Caenorhabditis elegans: one gene and its partners. The protein of the gene in region 3 interacts with the protein of the main gene of each other region in a pairwise test. Each region holds a gene or a part of one and is shown on either strand. Other genes may lie near its edges.

Region 1 (6,757 bases), on a different chromosome or scaffold from region 3:
TTTTCACATAACGTAATGGAATTTTAAACAATTCAAAAAAAATTTATAAACCAAAGACATTGTGAGAAAACACCTAGAATATTTAAGTTACAGATGACCATTTTCGGAAAACGGCAGATGGTGTGCAGCGTGCGCGGTTGCGTCGCGGCTCTGTGCACACTAGGAAATGAGAAACAGAGTCTTGAGGACTGTACGGGACCAGTTCAAAACACTAATCTGTCGTCAAACGTTGCGCCGTCTGTGCATTCAGTCACTGAGATGTTTGCGGACTTGGTTGTTTTCCTTCTTTTTTTGCGGTTGTAAAAAACAATGGAACCAAACAAAATGAAATGCCAGGTGTATTTGATTGGAAATCTTTAATAAATTAATACAATAATTTTATTGAACAATATATCATGTATTGTCTATTTTGTTTAGAAGTTTCAGAATGAACCCCAATGCTATAAATTATGTGTTGGGATCTTCTTAAATCTGATCTTAAAAGTTGAAATAAAATTTGTGTAACGTTATTTCATTGTCAGCGACGAACTACTGTTATTTTTCTCGTAATACCTCAATACATAATTAATCAGCAATTAGGGTCTTTTCAAGCATAATGCTATCCATTTTAGGTTTGTATAGCTTCAAGTCACATGAACTTTGGCAAAGAAGTGCACAGAAAAAAATTTTGAAGTTAAGTCGGGATACGAAGGAATCAATGCTAAGTTCGGCAGCTAGTGGAAGTCTCCTGTATGTTACAGATGTCCAGAAATTGCAAGATTGCACAAATGCTCTTGTTGATTTTAACTCCAAAACCAGGAAAATGATAGCTTATCCGTTTCAATTATTTTAGCTTATTCCCTTTTTTTCTGTGGAGGAATTTGAAAAATTTTCAATCAATTTCGGTTTTTTCAGGGTTCCTCCATGAGAATATTATTTTGATGTACATGCATACATCGATTTGTACTCCCAAATGGAAATAAATTGCTTCTCTGATCTGATTGTGAAGTCAAAATGATCAAATTTGAAGCTCCTTACAATTGGCCATCAAAGAAACATTTGCATTATTGTTAGCGATGTTGTAGAAATGTGTAAAATTCCTGAAAAGCGAGTGGAAAAAATCACTTGTAATAATTAAAAACTTCTTGCTAATCGCAATGATCCATTCGGGACGTTATCATCAGACACTTCCTAAATCAATTGGTTGTTGGATGCATATTCATCGTCGTGAAGAACAACCTTGGGGTGCGTACGTGCGCGTTGCGGTCACTACATTCTCTCTTCTCCCTCTCCTCTCTGGTCAACACAAATCGATACGAACATTGAGCGTGTACGTGAAGGGGAATTTGTCGTAAAATAGTGCGCATTGGTGCATTTGGTCGTCTCGGTGATTGCAGTCGTTGCTACTAGGGTTCGATACTACGAGACATTTTTGCATACTAGTTTTGCCATTTTTTTTCTGCAGAAATAGTTTTTGAACTTTGAGAGACACTAAAAGTTTAAAATGTAAACTTTTAAGTCATGAAGTTTTTTTCCACCGTTAGAATTCACTACTTCAAAATTATAAAAACCTTTCTTACTTTCTCTCATCTTTTTTTTCGAGAAAACTTTTCAATTATTCTGATTTTCTGAGAATTTAACATTTATTGAATGAAAGTTTTATTTAGACGTTTTGATTTAACGAAAATAATGTTTTACCATAACTTTGTCAATTTTCACCGTTTTATCGGAAAACCATATAAAGCTCAAATAGCCTCAAACACGGAATGTTTCATTATTGATTAATCATTTTTCATTTTCAGGTAAATCCAATCATCAAAAAACAAGACAAAATGAATGGAGCGTCGAGGGGCGACGTGCAGCGCCCCACTCCAGTTCAAGCTCCGGCAAAGCGACCAATTCCGCCTACAGTTTTCCGATTCGAGAAGGCATCCAAAATCGGGACTTCACTGGATACTACACCCAAAGAACTTCCCATAAGACGTCCCGTTCCACTACCAGGACCGCGTTTCGTGAAAGACGTGGTAAGATTAGTTTTTTTTTTCTCAACTTAAATCTGGCATAATAATTTGAAAAGTAATTTTAATTTTTCCTGCCAAATGAACTAAACTCGTCCCTTTCCGTCGATGAAAAAGTATCAAGAAATGTTGAAATGTTGACAAAAAGTAGGAGATGAGTTACACAGTAAAATTAAAAATACAATGAGATGTCATTTAATGGAGAAACAAATGTTGCTAAAACTCTGATGGTATTTATGAATCTTTTTTCGATGTAATCTCAAAGATAAAACTAACCCTATCTTGATTTCAGAACCCCTCACCTCCAGCTACTTCTTCGCCGAACGTTCAAACACAATGCCACCAACCTCCAGTTGTAAGATCTCAAACTCATCAAGCATCAGTTTCACAAACAACGCCTACTCAAACTACACCCTCTCAATATACTCCAGCTAGCGTTTCTACAGCTCGAGCCCCACAATTCCATAGATCGTCCCATGTTACACCTTCACAACAACAACGAATTGAACAAGCATTTGGCCCAGCTCCGGTTTCTCAATCACAACCACAGAACGGCAGTTATATCCAATATAATGAACCAAGCACATCGGTGGCATCTACGACTACCTCATTTTACAGTCCAAGTGAGTGAAGCTAAGTATATAATTTCAAAATTTTTATTTACAGACGAGTCTGAGCCCGTATTCACGCATGCAATATCTTTTAAACCCAATGAACCCGAGAATGGACAGAAAGCAAGGGAGCAACTAGAGTTGTTAGGTATGGTAAATTTTTGATATGTGTGTAAAGTCTACACTGTAAACATACTTATCTATTCAGATTCTGGAAAAATCAATGAGATTAATCAGTCAAAAGTTCCGACGACAATAGAACTGCCGCCAAACTGCAAGGTTAGGGAGTTTTACATTTGTATGTAGATCTAAAGTCAATTTAAATCTGTTTTCAGCTGTTTCAATATTCATGGGTGCTCGACGGAATACCTAGGACGCTTTTGGTTCCAATGCCAATGGATGCAACGGAAGAAGATGTGAAGGTTGATTATAAATTGTGAAAATATCTCCTACAAACATAGAGTTTCAGGCAATGCTTCCAAAAACGTTGGAAATGGATTCAAATCTTTTTAACAATGCTCGGCCCAGGGATGAACTACCAGTACTATCTTTCCGTAAGTCAGATATTTTTTTTCTTTTCACGGGATAATTTAAATTTACACCCAGAAAAATATATTCCGCAAAACTGCATCGGCAATAAAATTATTTTAAACGGTTCCAATGAATAATACCTTTTTTCAGCAAACGGAACAGTACCCAATGTAGAAATGATTGGTCCAAAAGTGCAACAACCCATGCTGGTCAATCCGAAGCAGTTCAACAGAATTATGCGAAGACGTGAGATGAGGCAACAGCTTGAAGCCAGTGGACGGCTCCCACTTGCTCGCCAGAAGTATCTCCACGAAAGTCGTCATCTTCATGCACTAAAACGCAAGAGAGGGCTTGATGGGCGTTTTGACAATACGAAAAGTAAGCAGATTTTCAAAAAATTGTATTAGTGGAAAGATGTTTTGAACTTGAATGTTTAATTGTTTTTACTTTCCAGCAGCCGAATCGTCATCAATGGTCAGCAGTACAACGTCTCCCAGAAAATTGAAACGCCGGAACCGCTTACCTGGTGAAGAAACTTCTGATTCGTCCTCAATAGTTCTCCCATCGCCAGTTGAAATTCAGTTAGTTTTTCTTATTTAAAATTGTTTCATTTTTCAATATGTGTGAATATTTCAGACCAAAGGGCGGGATAGTCAATTCATCGATGCCGTCGACGTCGACTGGATACATCAATAATGGCATGGATCATCAAACGGATTATATCGAGCATCAGCAACCCATGTCTACCTACGACCAATATCACGACCACGTCCAATATATCGCGCCGGATGGTAATGTGAATTACCACAACAATCATGACAATGGCGTCGATTTAACTGGAAGTGATGGACAAAGTTTCACGAATCTCTAATTTTATTAATAGCTTAATGTGTATTGCAACCGTTGCCAAACAAAATTCACCTCACCAAAATCATTCATGTTCCCTACGCTTTTTGCCACAGAAATGTACCTTCTCTTATTGACCGATCTTTTCTTCGGGATTATGCCCATTTCTCTTTCAATGTTTTCAAATTTTTTATCCTCATTATGCATTTTTTAAATCGTCATGTTGGGTTATGTCAGTCTTCAAACTATCCAATGAAAAGCTACACTTTTTTTAAAAGTATGACAGCAAAACTTCGTGTCATAATTGTCTCAAATATAAATCTGTATTGTTAAAAAGCTTCAAAATGTGCTACCACTCTAATATTGATTGTGTTCATGCAATTTGCAAACGAACATTCCCTTCATGCAAGTAAAAACATTTGAAAATTACAGTTTTAGTGTCAGCTAGCACTTTGCAGGAAACAAGCAAGGGCGGTGCCATGTGGATATAGGATTACGGCTTGATCTACAAAAATCTGACACCACATGTGATGGTAATCATGTAGTTGCTGTTCCCCAAATGCTGTTAATGAATTTATTTTTGAAATGAATAATTGTTCCGAAAATTTATTCACACAAATAATTTTTCCGAAACTTTTTCATTTCTAGGCTCAGAAATCATGATTCCTAGCAAATCTAAAAATAAAAAAAATCAGGTATTAGTTTTTCAATTTTGAAAATGTTGTGATATTTTGTGGTACGCATATTGAACAGGTTCCAATTCAATTCTGCATCCCCGTAAAATTTTTTTACTGCCACTTACTTGGAAAAAAGGGAAAAAAGAATACTAAATTTTCAATTCATCCAACAAAAAAAAAATAAAACTGAATCACAAACTGTAAAAATTTGCAATATCATGTTTGGCCATTCTCGTTGTGTTAGGTGTCATAGTCAGTCCACCAATGCGTTCACATTTGTCGAAATCACAAAGAACGACATCTCAATGTGAATCGTTGTTTTGAACACTTGTGATAAGTTCAATAAACATTTCAATAAGACATGAAAAAATAAACCACATATTATCAAAAAATATCAATCGCACAGGCCACGTGGCTTTTGTTTTTTATTTCTTTTTTATTTACGCTCTTCCCACAACTTTATTTTCAAAGATAATTTAAAAACTGAACTAAAGGTCAGACGTGGGAGGAGCGTAAATAAAAAAGAAATAAAAAACAAAAGCCACGTGGTCTGTGCGATTGTTATTTTTTGATAATAATATAATGTTACTTGAAAACTATTGTTCTAAAACAAATGTGTCTGATACAAAACTGCGAACATATTTTTTGCATAAATCAAACTTATTTAACGCTTTTATGACAATAAAAAATTGCATTGACTCACAAGACAACCCCCCAGTTGTCCCACTTCAATCCACTATAAAATTGTTTCTCTACAAATTTTACAAACATGTTTCAAGTTGTTGGCATTAGAATTTTGGGTAACACTGTTTTGGCACGCCCAAAAAAATGTTCAACCAGTTCCAACTGACAATTTTTCAACATAAAGTATGAATTGTTCAGAAACATAATAACGGCACATCTCACTATTTTTGAAAGCTCACAATGAGTTTGATTATGCATCTGAAAAAATTATATTTCGAGGTTTTTCACATACGCGTTCTAGAAAAACTTGTTTCACGTAATATATCAATTGTTAAAAACGTCATTAATAATCTTTTGATTTCACACATGACTCTCACAATAGGAGCAAAGTTAACACCCCTGACGTTTATTTTTGCAATTTTGGTAGATTTTCATTTGTTGACGTCGCAACTCATTAACTCCTCCTCACGTGTCTCCCCTATCAAGTATGAAAACATCAATTATATTTGTACACTTTTGCAATAAGTGTACCCTCTATGCGTCAAATCCACTAATGAATCTCAATTATCCATTTCGTAACTTAAATTTTTGTTCTTTTGAATTTTACACCTTGGATTTTTTTTAGCTAGTTTCCTTATTTTTGTTTTTTTTTCTCCCTATATTTCAATTTCTTATCCATTTTTTTTATTTTTCTGGCCAGCGTGGACCTTCCTTTTGCTGTGCCTGAATTGTTTCTCTATTTTCTCTATTTTGATTAATTCTTTACATTTTATGACTTGACGTTCAGAACCGATTTGCCCACAGTCTATTCGAAAGTAGTTTCTGCGAAACCACCGAAAGTCTGGTTTCGGAGTGGTTAAATTGCATTTCTGATTTTATGATTCGAGCTTATGTTGAGTATATAAACGTAAAATACCCCCAAACCGTTATTCCACCTTTAAGATCTCGGCTACCTCGGTTTTGCTATTCACCTTCGCAACTTCACACGTGTCTCCCATAGCAACTAAAAAAGCATTAATTAGCTTTCTATATATCTTCGCAACACATTCAGATGTATGTATGCGCTACATCGCCGTATTCTAACTTTTCCGTATGAACCACATGAACCACGTGGTTTATGAATCAAAACATGATTTTGCATCTGTGCCCATTCTCTTAGCTTATTTCCGTCCTGTTTTGTTGTTCCTTGATCTAAATGTTTCTTTTTCAGTTAATCATGGACCCTGAATTCTTAGACTCACAATCAGATGAATCATCCGACGACTCGTACGATCCCAGTTACAATCCAAAGCTAGGGAGCGGATTTTTATCTGTCACTAAAATTAGTGAGAAAATGAGAAAATCGCAATTAAAAGAGCGTCGACTCAGGAAGCAATCCAAAGTATCAAAATGTGCAAAGAAACTCAAGAGA
Region 2 (5,349 bases), on a different chromosome or scaffold from region 3:
AATTTGGATTTTTGGAGAAAATCTTTTAAAAAAATGTACTGTTTTTTTTCCAAAAAATTGAAAAAAAAACATAAAAAATTTTAGATATCTCGGTTTTTTTATAGGAGAAAATCAAAAATCAATAATATTCGATTTGTCGATTTTTTCTTTAAAAAAAAACGAAAAAAAATCAGAAAACTATGGTTTTATCAAAAAATATGTTATTTTTCCGAAAAATAAAAGAAAATTGCCTTTAAACTATTAAAAAATGACCGGAAATTATTGAAATTTTGATATTTTTCAAAAAAAAAAATTAAGTTTTTTCTTAAAATCGAAAAAAATTAGTAAAAATAATTTTTAAAAAGGCGAGGAAACTATGGATTTATCAAAAACATGTTGATTTTTATGAGAAAAACTTAAAGAAATTACTGGAAATTATTAAAAATTTGATATGGAAAAAAATCGAAAAAAAAACCAAAAAACATACCTTTCCGAATTTTCTGAAAAAATTTGAAAACTAGTTTTTTATTTTTTTTAAATCGAAAAAAATTATTAAAAACTAGATAATTTCCAAAATAAATTCGAAAATATTCGGCTTAGAGATCTGATATTAATTTTTTTAAATCATGTCCATTTTGTAGACGAATGAGAAATTATTCTGTTAAAAATTCAAAATGTTCCCGATTTTATTTTTAGAAATTTCGAAAAAAATGAAATTGCCCTCAAAAAATAATTTTTCAATATTTTTGAAAATTTTCCAAGCGAAATTTTTTTTCTAAACATCGAAACAAATTATCTGAAAGCGTAGCCGTACGACTATTAATTTCATAATATAAATTTAAAATTATTTGAATATTTATACATATGCCCAATTTTCAAGAAAAAAAAGTTCCAGAAACGCCGAAAAATCTGCAAAGTATCATCGCAATCTGCGCAGACGCCACGTACTGGAGACACGAATTCTACAAGGACAACACTGGAAATTTCACGAGTCATTTTGGGTCTTACGACGAATTGATCGAGGTCGCCAACGATTCATCGTTCTTCCGTACGCCAGTCGAGTAGAAATGTGGAAATGTGTATAAAAAATGTTCAAAATTGTGCTATATTCATCACTCAAACCTGCCATGTGCCTTTAAATTGCTTTAAAAAAAAAGAAATAATGCCATTTTTTTTTCCCGAGAAAGCCCCTCCCAATTGTTGGCATTTTTCGCCCTAAAATTCAAATTTAAAGGTGCAAATGGCCCTACTCACTTCATTTTCCCTCCACTTTCAATTTTTCGTACTTTCTCTCTGAATTTCCTCCTCTACGTTGCGTTTTGCTCAATTTTTCTGTTTCTGTGTGTACATTTTTGTTATTTTTTCCTTCTCTTGGTTAAAAATCCGAATAAAATTCAATTTTTCGTTTAAATTTTTTAGAAACATTTTGAATTTTCCGTTTATCGATCGGCGAAATACTCTTTTTTTTTTCAGAATTTCGAATTTTCGAACCAGAAAAATCGAAAAAAAATCGAAAAAATCTTTTTTTTTCCAGCTTTTCCGTTGCTCAGTTTATGGTCCACAAGAAGTTTGTGAATCTGACGTCGACACGAGAATCCACGTGGATTGACAGAACCCCACATCCCGCGGCACGCAATTATCTCGACGAAATGGCACCAATCAACGGAATTCGTGATGATGACGCTGCGTCAATTCGTCTCCGAGATAGCTTTCGAGATGAGGTCTCGAAGCGAATGGGCGAACTTTTGTTAAAGGGACAGACGATGTTGGATGAGTACTGCCCGACTTGCAGTGTAAGATGAAGACTAATATTACGGTAAACACTAAATTCTGAGAATGCGTATTGGGCAAATCATTTGACACGCAAAATATAAAATATCTCGTAGCGAAAACTACAGTAATTCATTAATTGACTACTGTAGCGCTTTTGTCGATTTACGGGCTCAATTTTTGCAAATCAAGATCCCGTAAATCGACACAAGCGCTACAGTGGTCCTTCTAAAGAATTACTGTAGTTTTCGCTACGAGATATTTTGCGCGTCAAATATGTTGTGCAATACGTATTCTCAGAATTTTGTGCTCCGGTAATACGTGGCCACTGACTGATTATTTCAGTTCAAATTTTTTTTTTTCAGGGAATTCTCATGGAGGACCGAGCTCTCGTGCGTCGTTGCGTCACCTGTGAACTTTTCAGAGAAAAATCGTCGGTTATTGTCGGCGAGGTTTCATTGCGTAAGGGATTTTGTCGCAAAAAATTACTAAAAATTAAATTTAAATTTTTTTATTTGAATTTCTAAAGATCTTCTGAAAAATGTCTTACATTTCGTGGCGAGACCCAGAAATCTATAGACCTATAAATTTTCAGAAGACGAAGACCTGAATGAAGCTGTGAACAACAAGATCCCAACCCCAGCGGCTCCAGTGAATAAACCAGCGAAAAAAGCAGTGCTCCAGAAATCTGCTCCAGCGAAAAAGAAGGAAGCTGTTCCGGCTGCTGCTGAGCCATCATCGTCTGATACAATTGAATCAGCCACCACTGCAGTCCTTCAGAAGCTCGAATGGGCCACCGATCGGCTCAATTCAACGGAAGAAGTCGCTCGTGTCATGGATTTTCTTTCCGTCATTCAAAAATCTGCCGAAACTCTCAAGGCTCTCCGTATTTGAATCTCATGTTGCTCTTTTTGTTTTCGAATTTTGTGGTTCAATTATTGCTTGTTGGTATAATTTGAAACATTTTCAAAATAAATAAACGCTTTTTCCATTTAAATTAATTTTTGAAAAACGTAGTAGTAAAATGCAAAGTTTGAATATCGATTTTAAGGACAATTAGCAATCAATAATCTAGAAAAATTCAGAAAAATGCATCGGACCGCCCGAAATTTTGCGGAGATCAAGCCGAATTTGTTGTTCCGAAAAGCAAAAATGGCTAGGAAATCCGCGGAGAAATATGTGGCCAAAAAGTGGGTCTCGCCACGATTACATCCCAGAGTTTTCAAAATTTAGGTCATATCGAAAATAACGAGTAAAAAATTAATAATTATGTCTTTAAGCTAATTTTCAAGCTTTGGGTCCTGACACGAGTAAGACTTTTGAACTACAGTAACCACTCCAGTACTTTGCAAAGGTGTGTACCTTTAAAGAATACTGTAGTTTCAAACTTTGATTGCTCCTGAATTTTTGTCGATTTTTCAGACTTTGGATAAAAATGTGTTTACTGTTTAAAAAAACCATAAGTTAAAAAAATCGATAATATATCCGCAAAAACTAGAAATTACAGTACTCTTTAAAGGCGCATTCCCATGTGCATTCGGCACCGTATTTTTTAGGCAATTCATTCGCATTTGGGTATAAAAGCCATTAAAACACGAGAAAAACCAGGAAAAAACTGAAAAAAAATTAAACGACTGGTTACGGTAGCTGAAAAGTTATTGTCGTGCCAAGACCAAACAATACAAAAAAATTAATAGCGAGGTTCTACAAAAACGCTATTTTTACAGAATTCAAGTACCTGAACTGCAAGGAGAAGCACTTTTTGGCTTACATTCGGTTTTAGAGGCAATTCGTTCTGGAAAACGCGATTTTCATTCAGTTTTTCTGAAAAAAGCTGTCGAGTAAGCGGGTTTTTTATTTGTACGTAAAAATAGCTGTAATGTGTGCTAAAAAAAGTGCGATGGAGCGCATTTGCACTTGAAATTAAACATTTTTTAAGAAGTTTTTTTTTAACTACAAAATCGGCCCGCCCCTTTACTGGCAAAAAGTTGATTTTTTCCAGAAACCGTGCCGATTCTGACGCCCGAATCAAGGAAATCCTCTCACGAATCGATGAGCTCGGAATTCAAAAAACTCTGCTAACTGATGACCAACTCGATCGGCTCACCGAGTTTCAGCTTCACAATGTACCTTTAAATGCCGCTTCACTCTAAAAACTCAAAAAAAAAATTTTTTGCAGGGAATCTGCATGGACGCCAGCGCTCTGCAATTCTCAAATTTCGAGCCGAAAACCGTGTCGATTTTTGTGGATAAAGTGTTGGATCCTGGGAATTTGGGTGCAATCGGAAGAAGTGCATGGTATTTTGGAGCCGATGGGCTTGGACTTGTCAAGGGAAGAGGGTGAGAATTGGAACACCACATGATTTACGCTGTGGCCTAGAAAAAAACCGATTTTTCAGACCCAAATCGATTACCCCGGCAATGATCAAATCATCGTGTGGAGCCCTGGAGCATCTTCCAGTACAGCAATTTCTCAATTTCAACGAGTTTCGCGACAAAATCAAAGCTGCCGGCGGTGAACTCGTGGCGACTTGTGATCCTGGTGCTGCTGAAAAGGCTGGAATTTCGGCAAAATCACTGGATCAGTGGACACCGGAAAAACCCGTGGGCATTGTGCTCGGCGACGAGGGTGTCGGAATTAGTCGGGGGATTCTGAATCTTTGTGATACTGTGATATCGATTTCCCCAGTGAGGAAAGACGGATCCAATGTGACTTCGTTGAATGTTTCAGTTGTTGCAGGTACTTTCCCATTGGTCGGGACACTGTAGGATTACTGTAGTTTTAGAAAATTAAGTATTTGACGTTTAAAGGGACATTGAGTTGGGGTTAGTTGAGGGATATGGTTGGGGTACTGTAGTAATACTGTAGGGGTACTGTAGGAGTACTATAGGATTACTGTAGGATTACTGTAGTTTTGGAAAAATTGACTTTTCGTCTTTTGAAGAGATATTGACTTTGAGTTAGTAGGGGGATATGGTCGGGGTACTGTATTAGTACTGTAGGGGTACTGTAGGAGTATTGTAGGATTACTGTAGTTTTTGAAAACTTAGTTTACAAAAATGAATAACCTAGTTTCAAAGCTTAAATTCCAAAAAACCAATATGTTTCGTTTTCCGGTTTTCGAAAAAAAAAACAAACAGGAAAATTTTATTTTTTGAATTTCGAAGTTCTATGATTCCCGGCCATTGTTTTTGCTACTTTTAAATCAATAACCGCCCAAAAAACAGGTGGCCGAGTTTTTTTTCACGGCCATGTGGCACATATATACAAAATATCAATTTCCAGGCATCCTCCTTCACCACATTTCACTACAAAATCGTACAAATTGAAACAAGCAGCCATTTGGAGACGCTCAAAATTTGCACACCTGCTCACGGAGCCACCGCCTCTGGATATTAATAGTCATGTACAACCCCCTATATAATTGAGTGACCGGTCGTATCCATTTGTTAACAGAAAATATGTTCCTATTTTTCCTGATATTCCTGTTCTCTTTTGTTACTGCTAATGAAAATTATAATGATAAAAATGTTACTGAACTTTGCTCAAATGGAGTAAAACCTGGAAATTGTGAGTGTTGTTTATTGATTTTTCAGCCT
Region 3 (5,513 bases):
AACAATAAAGTGAATCAAAGGTTAAAATGAGATACTGATGATAAACTGATACAATTTGAAAGTAATTGTGTTACAAGTGACGTCATTTGGAAGTAGAGATTAATTAGTTTTCTTGAGTTAGATTTAAAGTTGTAAGTTTTTTAAATTTAAATTTTTCTAAATTTACCAGTAAGCAAAAAATCTCGAAAGGGACGCATTTAAATTTTAAATTTTGAAATTTTTTCCCTCGTGAATGCGGATTCCCGTCCAATCTCTCGTTTTTTTTACTACAAAAATTAAGACTTGATTTTGGTAAAACTATTCCTTCCGTAATACTAATTCTTTCAGAATCGTAAAGCCTACTACAGTAATCTTATCATACTCTACCGTGCCATCACAATACCTGATAAATTCGGAAATGTCGCAGCAAGACCCAACGTGTCTAGAAAAATTTTCGCAGTTTTATACAATAAAATGTTCTCATATTGCAAAAAAACTTTTTCTCACAATAAGAAAACAATGATTTCCAAAGAAGAGTTATTGAGGAAATATTTAGATAGAATGGTCAACCAAAAAAAAATCAAGCATTCTTAGAATCTTCGTCTGTAAGTGACTCATATCCTCAAAATAATTCCTATGTTTTGTTTAATTATTTTTCTTTTTTTCAACATTTTGAGAAAAAAACCAAGACATTAATGAAATTACAGTTTTTCCAACAAACTAAAAGTATTCAATCAAGAAAATAACAAAAAAGTGAAATGAAGCTCAATTCATTAACTTTTAAAATTCAAAATTTGGTTTGAGTAAACCTCCAGTTGAAGCGTAATAATTACCAAAATTCTATCCATATATTTTTAGAGATATTTTAACGAACTTCAAACATGCAAATTAATCAATTTTGGTTTTTTTTTAAATATACACATTATTTAAAGAAATGAAGCTGTTTTGAAAATATAATTAAGAACAAAAATGTACATAAGTGCATTTCAAAAACATTATTGAGCCACGTTGGTTATGAAAACATTCAAAAAATGCCATTGAAAACAAAAATTCTGTCTGAAAGTATACAGAAACTTTTTTAAGTTCTACAACACTTTCCACATCGATAGAGATATTTTTTGAAAATTAGAAATAATTTTTTTGGAAATCTTTTGATATACCCAGAACAAATATATTATGTTGTTTTTGGGAAAACATCTGAAAACGTAGAATTCCACATGGCGCTGTAAACAATGAAAGCTTCTTGTAAGCTTCAATACAAAATATTTCCCTTATATTGTATTAATTCCATATACTAACGGTTTTTCCAAATAAACATTTAAAAAACACCTTATGTGTCTCAGATTTCCGCCACAAAGGTTGAAAAAAGGTTGAACCTTTTTAGGAACTGCTAATCTCTGAAGTTTTCAATGTGTTTCATTTCAGTAAATATACAATTTCATCCATATGTACAATAAATACATCAAATAAAAATTATTAATCAGAAAATTCCTCTTTGTCGAACAAATATTCTCCGAGTCCTGGGCCGGCTCTCTTGATATTTGCAATGTAGCGAGCAAATTCATTGATCGAATGTACCTTAATAAACGTTATAAAAATAGGAGTTTAAACTGAAAATGCCAACCTGCTCTTCCAAATACTTCTCCTGAATGTAATTTGTCAAGTGCGCGTCATTGCGTTGTTCGGCGATTCCATGAAGCTTCAACAAAGATGCATTATTGGCTCTCTCTAGAGCAAGTGCGGCTTCAAATGCTTCAAGGACAGTTCCCCACTCGTCTTTCTCTGGCTTCTGAATGTTCTGCATGGCAACACGTCCTCCACGGACAGCTTGAATTCTCATGAGCTCTGTGGCATGGCCACGCTCCTCATCCGATTGCTCCTTGAAAAATTTGGCAATGTTCCGAAGTGCGATATCATCACGATCGAAGTGTGCAGACATCGATAGATAGACATAGGAGGCGTAGAGTTCTACGTTAATCTGGAAAGGTAATTTAAGCTTTTAATTGAGTAATACTTCTAATTTTAAAAGCATTTCAGTGTTAATTTCGTCCAGTTCAAAAGCAAGCTCAGATAGGATTTTTATTGTAGACGCTTTCAGTCTCACGTGCTCGTCTATCTACTGCCGCCTATTCTGTATATTTTTTTTGGATGACTGGCATAAGAGCAAAGAAATCATCGACGCTGCCATGATCAAATTGCGCTTCTTCAGGTACTGTCTGCCTGCCCTTGTTCGTTAAAAAAAAACAAAATGTTGCCGGTTGGAAAAATAAGCGTGTGGTGTGTTTCAATGTTTTTATTAATCAGTTAAATTCCTAATTTAAAGTAACCAGACATCAGTGATTAATTTTCTCACGACACATCCTCTCTTTTTCTAAATCTCTTCTCAATTTCCAACCTTCCTAATATATTTTTCCCATTTGTCAAAACAATGATCATACCTGTTTATTGACGGCCGCTTCGACTTCATCGTGATAGTTTTGACGAGCTAGAGACATGACGATTTACTTGGCAGAAAATATAATGACTTGATTACGTGTCCGGGACTGTGGGTGTTTTTAAACTGGACAACTCTGGGGGCGGAGTTTGTGATTGTGATCATTGATAAACTGATTATGATTTTTGCACATTACATATTGGCAACGAAAGGGTTCTTGTTTACAGAAACATGCGTTTCAATGAACTAATATGGAAACCTAAGTGTTGAAGTACATTTTGAGAAGCTTAACCTTCTGTAAGAAAACTACATCCAAGGATCGCCGAATGAAAATAACTTTTTGCAGAAGTGTGATGTCCCTTTTCGCCTGGCTTTCTAGCGTCCACATTCACATTACATTTTGATTTTAATATGATGCTTCGTAAACTCATACTTGTCCTGTACTCAAAATTTTTAAACTTAGATATAGGTTATAAACTTGAAAAGTGTTTTTTGGGAGATAAATTATACCAGTATTGTTAGAACGTTTCCAGTGAACGCCCTAAATTCTGAAATAAAAAGTTCCGGTTTTTCCTGATCCAAACAAAACCCAATTCTCATCAAATGATGATCTACACTTTCTTAACGTTGATGTATGGTTGTCTCGGCATCACATGAGCTGCCCTAAGACATGTTGATTAGCATTTATTTTGGCTACGTGCATCAAAATTTAGTGATAACAAACGGTACGTGCCGCTCTTATCATTGGCTACGTGAGCTGTTGACAGTCAAAAGTTGGATGGAAAAAGTGATATAGTTTAACAAAAAAAATTTAAATATTGCGTCAGAATATTGATACTTTTGAATTAGGATGGTTCAGGTTAAAGCGAAATTCAAAAAAAAAACACTGAAAACTGAGCAGACCATTTAATAACTTGAACAAGTATCAAAAATTACAAAAAAACACTTTTCAGTGGAACTGTTTTTTCACAGGCAAAGCGGAAAGTGCCCAAAACGGTCCGTTCACGGACCGGGAACGGCTCAAATTAAAGAACAGTTCACGGTTCGATTCCCGGTCCGTCAACGGACCGTAATTGAACCGTAAGGAGACTAAAAAATGGGAAAATTTTTTCACCCTCCAGCTGCCCCCTTTTTCTTTCCCAATGCTCCAAGCTCCGGTCTTCCTCCAGACCGTCTTCCGGTGATCCTTCGTTGTAGCAATTCTATCTGCCTCAGCCGGGGTTGAACTTGTCCACTGCCTGTCGATTGATTACTGGCCCATCACCTTTCCGTGTGGCCATTCGCGCACGCGAGGAATATCAAGAGACTTCGCATAAATAGCGATCAGCGCATTTTCTTCTGGTTTTCACGGCTTACACCAACTTTTTCGATTGTATTTTCAGTAGTTTCTGATTCTCCATCTTGCCGTTGGACTTATATGAAAACGAACGATAACAATTGACAGTTTCGTGTAGTCCAGAACTTATTTCGCATATTTCTCAACATCTACCTATTTGTGCTCCATCTACTTGTAATACAGAAATGGTACTTACCATATTTCCTCTATTAGTCTTGCATGCAAGACTAATTTTCGATTGGACCGTAGGGTTGCAAGACTAATAGAGGAAATAAGGTATATGCGTTCTACTTGAATGATACCTTAATTTCTTAAAATACACACGGAACAGAAACGATATCAGGAATGATTCCAGAATGTATTGTTAGTAAAATATTTTATGATATTTCAAAAAATGCTCCTGTTGCTCAGCTGAAGAAGACCAGCAGAGAGAGAGTGAACGTTGCGTATACACAGTATCTACCCAATTGTGGCATTTCATCTTTTTTATTGATATTTTTATATACATTAATATAACCTCTTTTACACACAATGTTCTGCTTAATAGCCTCAGTTAGATCGCATGCGATTACGGGCCGCGTACGGACCAGTCGGACAGATGATAGACAAAATGGTTGCCCAGAGGAATTTTTTTTTCATGAAAATTGAGTTTTTGAAGTACCTACAATGCTATTTGGTTCATTGTAGCCAGTTGGTTAATTTTTTGCCTGATTCAAGGTTTAGTTTTAAAAAGTGCAGTTTTGCCGACCGGGACGGGTAATTTACGGACCATCTACGGACCGGCTACGGCCAAACTACGGATGATCACCAAAACGGAGGATAATACGAAAAAATTTTTCATGAAAATGGAGTTTTTGAAGTGCCGAAGAGAGAAGGAGAGGGTACTCTCCTTTAGCTAATTTCAGCACTTTTTCCGTGCTAGAACCTGAAATTTTCAAAAACAAAAATTTGGTGCCCGGGACGGTTCATTTACGGTCCGTCTACGGGCCGGCGACGGACCTTCTACGGACCGGAAACGGCCCAACTACGGCTCAAGAGCCATCTCGGTCGGTAAATGTGGTGTTTGCTCTAAATAATGCATTTAACGACGTAAAAATGCTTAAATTAGCCAACTGGTATCATAGGTATTAAAAACAATTCGTTTTCTTAAAATCCATTTTTTCCTCTTAATGGCCATTTTTTACATTCCCCGTAGTTTGCCCGTAATTGGTCCGTCCCGCTATTCATATCCGTAGTTCACCCGTTAATGGTCCGATCCCGGTCCAAGATCCGTAAACGGACCGTACCCGCTTTGCCTGTGTTTGAAATCATAGAAAAACCCGCATGATTTGTTCACCTCTGCACAAATCACGACAGATTATTAATTGATTCACAAAATTTCAATGTATCTTTTTGAATTTCCGTATTCTACTTTTTAATCTGTCCAGGGATTTGTCGCCTCGGTAAAAAAGCCCGCCACCATTAAAATCATACCGAATCTACCATGCAGAGGTGTCTTTTTCCCATTGTATTTTGTGCACTGGAACTTTTTTCTATTGTAGGTACTCAGCAGGCATTCGGAGTAAGTTGTGGGTTTTCTGAAAAATATAAATGCTGCTGCCACGTGGCTCTCTTTCATTATAATTTTCGTTCAAAAAATTGACCTGAAAACACCTTCTTAATAATATTTAAACTATTTCTTAGATTTTTTTTTTTTTTTTTTTTTTTTAATTAAAACGTGTCTACCACCCATGAGCACATGATTCAATACGTTATTGTGTAAAA
Region 4 (5,252 bases), 4.1 Mb from region 3:
GATAAACTGGGTCAACTTCAAAAAGAAGGCAAGCTGGATCCCAAATCAGTGCTAGTTGCCACTTACGCACTCTGTGGATTCTCCAATTTTGGCTCAATGGGGATTCAAATGGAAGTTATTGGAGGTCTGGCTCCAGGGAGGAAAACCGTGGCTTCCAAGGTTATGCTCCGTGCTCTTTGTGCAGGAGCCATCGCTTGTTTTATGAATGCTACTGTTGCAGGTTAGAGGGTTTTGAATAGGAAGTTAAATTTATTAATTTGAAAAAATTTTCAGGAATCTTAATTTCCGATCCAGTGGTTTGTAACAGTGCAAACTCGAATTCCACGTGTTTTAGGATACCTTCATGATATGAGGGTGTGTTGTGGATATTTGTTTTGTAATTTAATTTGTAACTATGAAAATTTTGAATAAACTTTATACAGGGTGTGCCAAAAGTATGGTAACACATGAAGCGCTCTTTTACATGAGCTTTTCGCGCGTCTGCCACGTTATACGTACATTCTTCTATCGAATACTAATAGCTGAATAAATTTCCTTCAATTTGACCTAAAATTTGCAATGTTTCCCAATAAGGTGCGGTTTTAATCACCTCGGCAATTTAGCGAACCCTTTCGAAAAAACGGTGTTTTGGCACGCGGCACTTCCCACACAAACACACCTCCCACGCACGCCAATAATTTTCAGATGTACATATGATTTTTATGTTAAATTCAAAGTTAAAGAAGTGAAGAAGCGCTTTTGATTGTTTTTGTAGCCTATAAAAATTTTCTGTGTCGGCACTGGCGCCTAGCAATAACCTTTGAATATTTCATGAATTCAACTTTGCGAAATTTACTCAGTTTTTTAGGTTTCGCAATCCATCTTTCTGGTGACTGTGTCATTCAAGACTTCAGCTACTGCCACAGTCCATGACAGAAATACCACGATAGAAATTTTTTGGGTTTTTGTTTTTAAAGAATCTCCAGACCAAGAGCATTCTTTGAACTATAAAAACTTATAAGAAACTTAATGGATTCCTTGAGAAAAATGTAGAAATCCCGCAGAATGCCAACTTGCGTGCCAAAAAGATCGTGATCTCAAAAGTTCTGAAGGCCTGCAGCAATGTGGATGGGGATATTTTGAAAATTCAAAACGTTCATCTGGTCAGTATTTTATGGAGAACAAAACTTGTACAAATTGATGTAATAACTCTCTCCACACGTGAAGTTATAGAGCTGCAAGCGTGTTACCATACTTTTGGCCCACCCTGTATATTGAGTTATTGAGAAATTCAAAACTGTTTTATATAACGGAAAAAAAATAATTAAATTATACATATTTTGGGAACTTCGAAACTGATTGTGAGCGAAAGGTAGGCGTTTTGCGCGTCCGACTTTTTTCGGGATCGGTCATTCATTATGTTTCTTAAGTGGGTGGTGGAACCCAGAATATGTCGGGCGCGCTAAACAACTCCTAGATTTTGAATTTGCTGCGTCCATTTCGGAATCGCTTGAAACCGGTAAACTGCATTTTATAAGAATAATTAAATTTTTTTGCAAATGTTTGTTAATAGTTTCGTTACAAACTTCAGTTTTTTTTTGAAAATTTTCATAAAAATTTTTACGTATAATTTTCAGGCAAAACATATTTTTATATAAAGTTTTTCTCAACTTTTTCTACATTTCCAATGTTCATATTTATCAAATAGTTTACAAAAACATTACAATTCATGAAAAAAACATTTCAAATAGCCAAAAAAAATTATTTTGAAGAGTATGGTCTTGTTTCCAAATATGGCTTGAGCTTCGGGTGCTCAGCGATACGCTTGAAGTAGGCATTGACTACTGGGAAATCGGTTCCCAAAAATCCTTTTTCCAACTCAATCAAAGAAGTTGTGGTTTCGAAGAAGAAGAGATCGGGAAACGAGATTCCACTGTCCAGGAGGAATCCTAGAAATAAATGATATAATTTTTCAACGCCTTCTATTTTTTCCAACTCACCAGATTTGCTCTTCTCCAATCTCTTGCTCAGAAGCTTGAAATACTTCTCCTTAGCAGGGTCCAACGAAGTTTTCTTCAACTCGTCGCGATCCCCAGCAGCACCAGGATACCCAAAGGCAATCATTGCCCATGGCTTCATGTCAATCAAGAAGTCCTTGTAAAGATCGGTGAATGCGTCAGCCCAGGCCTTCTCTACCGGAGTTTGTCCAGCAAATCCAAGTTGATTGGCAACAAAGCGAGCGATTGCAACGGATTGTGGGATCTTCTCACCGTCGACTTCTAGCACAGGCATTTGCCCGAACGGCATCTCGTTTTTAAGGGTGTTTTCTTCCTTGATCCAGTCATCGATTTCGTATCGGACATCTTCGAATTCGACGCCGGCCATATGGAACATCTGGAGAGAGTTTCAGTTAATAAAAAAATGTGGAAGGTTTCGAAAAAATTGAAGTCTCGTAGTAGAAATTTTTTAAAAATTTAGAAATTTTTATGGGTAGTCAAAAAGTAGTGAAACTCCGATTTTCAAAAATTTTGGAATTCGATCCAGATAATTTTTTTCCTACGATTTATTCTTCTAATTTTGTTTTACCTTCAGAAGCAAAATTTCACAAAAAGTAACCAATTTTGGATTTAGACAATTTTGTTTTAAGTTGAAACTTACAGCTCTCGAAGCCTCTGCATATCCGCGAGCGTTGAAGTAGTGAAGACGGTACTTGGTCATGTTGAACTCGAGTGTGTCAAATTTAGAATCTGATGGGAAAAAACTTTCCGAAAACTGTTTATATACTCACCCAGTCACATTTTGATCAGAAAAATTCATAGAAACAGAAAGTACACAGTTTCGGGTCTAGGCACAAACTAGGCACGGAAAATAGTATTGGAGAATGAGAGAGTGGTAGAGAGTGAGACAAATAATCGGCACAAAGCATGAGAAACACATACTCCAATATGACGTAGAATGTGGGTGAAGATTATGAAGGAAGAAAATTATTTTAAGGAAGTGAGAGTTTTAAGCTTTGGATTTGAAAAATTGTAATAAAATTTCTCGAAAATAATTTGAAATACGTTTTTAAGTGCAATCAAAAACTTTAAATTTACTGCGATTTTTAAATTTTAATTAATTTCAATTTTTTGTATTTTAAAATTATTGGGGTTTGAATATGGTTTGCCGATTCGTCGATTTGCCGGAAAATTTAATTTTTGGCAAATTGCCGATTTGCCGTTTGCCCAACATCAACTTGCCGGAAGTTTTTAGAGCGATTTTTTATAAGACGCAAACACTTTAAACTGTGCCTTTTACAAAATTGTCTCGTTTGGTTTAGATATTTTCGAAGGAATTTGCTTATTTTCCAAAATAGATGTAAGAGCATACATGAGATGCGTACAATGTTGCCGGTTAAAATAAAAATTCAGAAATTTTCAACAAAAAAATGTGCAAAACTACAATTTTCTGAAAATTTTTGGCAATTGCCGTTGTTCCGGTAAATTCGGCAAATCGACAGTTTACCAGTTTACCGATTTGGCGGAAATTTTCGATTCCAGTAGTTTGCCGATTTGCCGATTTGCTGAAAAAATCGTTGCCGCCCACTCCTGGTTGGAACTTCGATTTTTCAATTATCAAAAGGGCCTAAATACCATAATGAAATTTTATTTGCAGTCGTCATTTGGCATTCCGATACAAATATATGTTTTATTTTATAAAAAATCGAAAAATTCAAAAGCTATCTGGAAATTTTAAATTGCCCAACCGCGACCGAACTTTTCATTTTTGCACTTTTTGGCTTTCCAAAATACAAGAGACTTGAGACGACTGTTGATTCTATGGCACATCCGATGGTTTTCATTACCGCTGTAAAAGGACCCAGAACCTGTAAAGGGTGCACTTATTTTAGAAATAAAAATTTTTTACTTCAATTGAAAAAATGTTAGGCCACATCCCGCCGCAAAAGACCGGAAGAAAATCAAATAAAAACACTGTACAAGTGTCCAGTAATGCCAGACGATTTGCCTGGAAATTGAGGAATTGAAAAAATAATTTAGTAACATGTTTTTACTTTTGTAGGTTTGTTATTGATTGGATGTTTCTTTAAGTATTTCCGATTTCGTAGGAATAAATTGACAAAGAGAAGTATAGATACAAATACGTTGATGGAAAATACAGTCTGAAATGAATAGAATTTTGTTGTGTTTGGAAGTTTTAGAAACATTTCCTGTCTCACCTGGTAAACTTTTTTTTCCAGATTTTTTGAATTTTTAGAAACAAAATTTTTTTCAGAAACAAATATTTGAAATTTATTAGGAGGCCAAAATAGTCCCGGGTTAAAAACCATAATTTTACACTTTTGCCCTATTCCGCTTTTTCACTATTATTTCAAGTTTGACAGGTGGAAATATTTTATCGAGTTAGAAATTCCCAAAAAAACTCAAAAACTGCCCGAAACCGAAAAATGTCTGCTGCTTATTGTATAGTTTACTTACACTTCTTTGAATTCTGAAATAGTTGGAGAAACATTTGTTAACTGCACAACCGAAATTCTTGCAGTTTTCAGGAATTAAATTTGTTTTGCAGTCACAAAATACAAATAGAACTATATAATCGAAAGAGCCATATACCAGGGCAACTTGGAAAATTAAAAATTTCGGAACATTCTGAGCACTAGTTCTGTATAAAATTGGAAAGTACACTGCAGTGGCTCGTTCTAGTGCAATTGAAAGTGCGATTATAGAACGGCATGATCCGACAATATACCAAGGAAGGCCCAAAAAAATTAAAAAGCTGCGATGTTCGACCATAAACAATGAATTCTCAGAATAAAATAAAAGGAAACTGATGTATGACAACACTGGAAATTTTTTAATTAGAAAAAAAGAAAACACTGGTTTAAGCTTACACGACAGACCAAAACAAACGTCCAGAACGAATCGATAATAAAATAATCGCATTTCAGGTTTCCGCTGGGATTTTTTCCTGGAATAAATGAATATAATGAGAAAAATGGCATGCAAAAATTAGACTCACAAAACAATTATCCATACTAAATTGAGATTAAGTAGGACATCAAATATTGCACAGACTATACCAGTCACAAGTACCAGTACAAGGATGGTATTCATAATGGATTAATTTCCTGAAAATCATAAATATTCCGCCAGTTACTGTTGAAAGCAAAGCGGCAAAAAATTCGGCAAAAAACAGCGAAAAAAAGGCAAAACTTTTTATTGAAGCGGCAAAAAACCCTCACTCTCATGTGCTTTTTAAAAATGTGAATAGGGAGG

Evidence for each region.
Region 1: the proteins of ftn-1 (region 3) and nfya-1 interact in a two-hybrid assay, tested with the Caenorhabditis elegans proteins (one large-scale study listed by BioGRID).
Region 2: the proteins of ftn-1 (region 3) and Y39A1A.3 interact in a two-hybrid assay, tested with the Caenorhabditis elegans proteins (one large-scale study listed by BioGRID).
Region 4: the proteins of ftn-1 (region 3) and gst-33 interact in a two-hybrid assay, tested with the Caenorhabditis elegans proteins (one large-scale study listed by BioGRID).

What each region holds. Positions count from the first base shown.
Region 1 is NC_003284.9:11,941,857-11,948,613, reverse strand, and holds nfya-1 (Nuclear transcription factor Y subunit nfya-1), read left to right. Parts: upstream 1-1,775; 5' UTR 1,776-1,811; coding exon 1,812-2,003; intron 2,004-2,289; coding exon 2,290-2,620; intron 2,621-2,663; coding exon 2,664-2,756; intron 2,757-2,816; coding exon 2,817-2,887; intron 2,888-2,943; coding exon 2,944-3,030; intron 3,031-3,077; coding exon 3,078-3,162; intron 3,163-3,289; coding exon 3,290-3,517; intron 3,518-3,593; coding exon 3,594-3,720; intron 3,721-3,775; coding exon 3,776-4,010; 3' UTR 4,011-4,329; downstream 4,330-6,757. Other genes in the region: F55G7.3 (BLVR domain-containing protein), read left to right, coding at 6,563-6,757. UniProt on the Caenorhabditis elegans protein: Component of the sequence-specific heterotrimeric transcription factor (nfya-1-NF-Y) which specifically recognizes a 5'-CCAAT-3' box motif found in the promoters of its target genes to regulate their expression and control cellular identity in particular tissue types.
Region 2 is NC_003281.10:10,592,652-10,598,000, reverse strand, and holds Y39A1A.3 (Sjogren's syndrome/scleroderma autoantigen 1 (Autoantigen p27)), read left to right. Parts: upstream 1-1,513; 5' UTR 1,514-1,532; coding exon 1,533-1,772; intron 1,773-2,114; coding exon 2,115-2,211; intron 2,212-2,344; coding exon 2,345-2,643; 3' UTR 2,644-2,743; downstream 2,744-5,349. Other genes in the region: epg-6 (Ectopic P granules protein 6), read left to right, coding at 869-1,044; Y45F3A.9 (rRNA methyltransferase 1, mitochondrial), read left to right, coding at 2,839-2,939, 3,477-3,590, 3,752-3,875, 3,929-4,089, 4,149-4,489, 5,036-5,079; Y45F3A.8 (ShKT domain-containing protein), read left to right, coding at 5,212-5,320.
Region 3 is NC_003283.11:7,545,090-7,550,602, forward strand, and holds ftn-1 (Ferritin), read right to left. Parts: upstream 2,491-5,513; 5' UTR 2,475-2,490; coding exon 2,418-2,474; intron 1,958-2,417; coding exon 1,604-1,957; intron 1,558-1,603; coding exon 1,456-1,557; 3' UTR 1,379-1,455; downstream 1-1,378. Other genes in the region: C54F6.19 (SWIM-type domain-containing protein), read left to right, coding at 398-502.
Region 4 is NC_003283.11:3,465,793-3,471,044, forward strand, and holds gst-33 (glutathione transferase), read right to left. Parts: upstream 2,771-5,252; 5' UTR 2,698-2,770; coding exon 2,638-2,697; intron 2,374-2,637; coding exon 1,980-2,373; intron 1,929-1,979; coding exon 1,741-1,928; 3' UTR 1,659-1,740; downstream 1-1,658. Other genes in the region: slc-28.1 (Sodium/nucleoside cotransporter), read left to right, coding at 1-220, 274-347; srbc-29 (Serpentine Receptor, class BC (Class B-like)), read right to left, coding at 3,698-3,844, 3,886-3,984, 4,031-4,138, 4,455-4,819, 4,868-4,944, 4,996-5,090.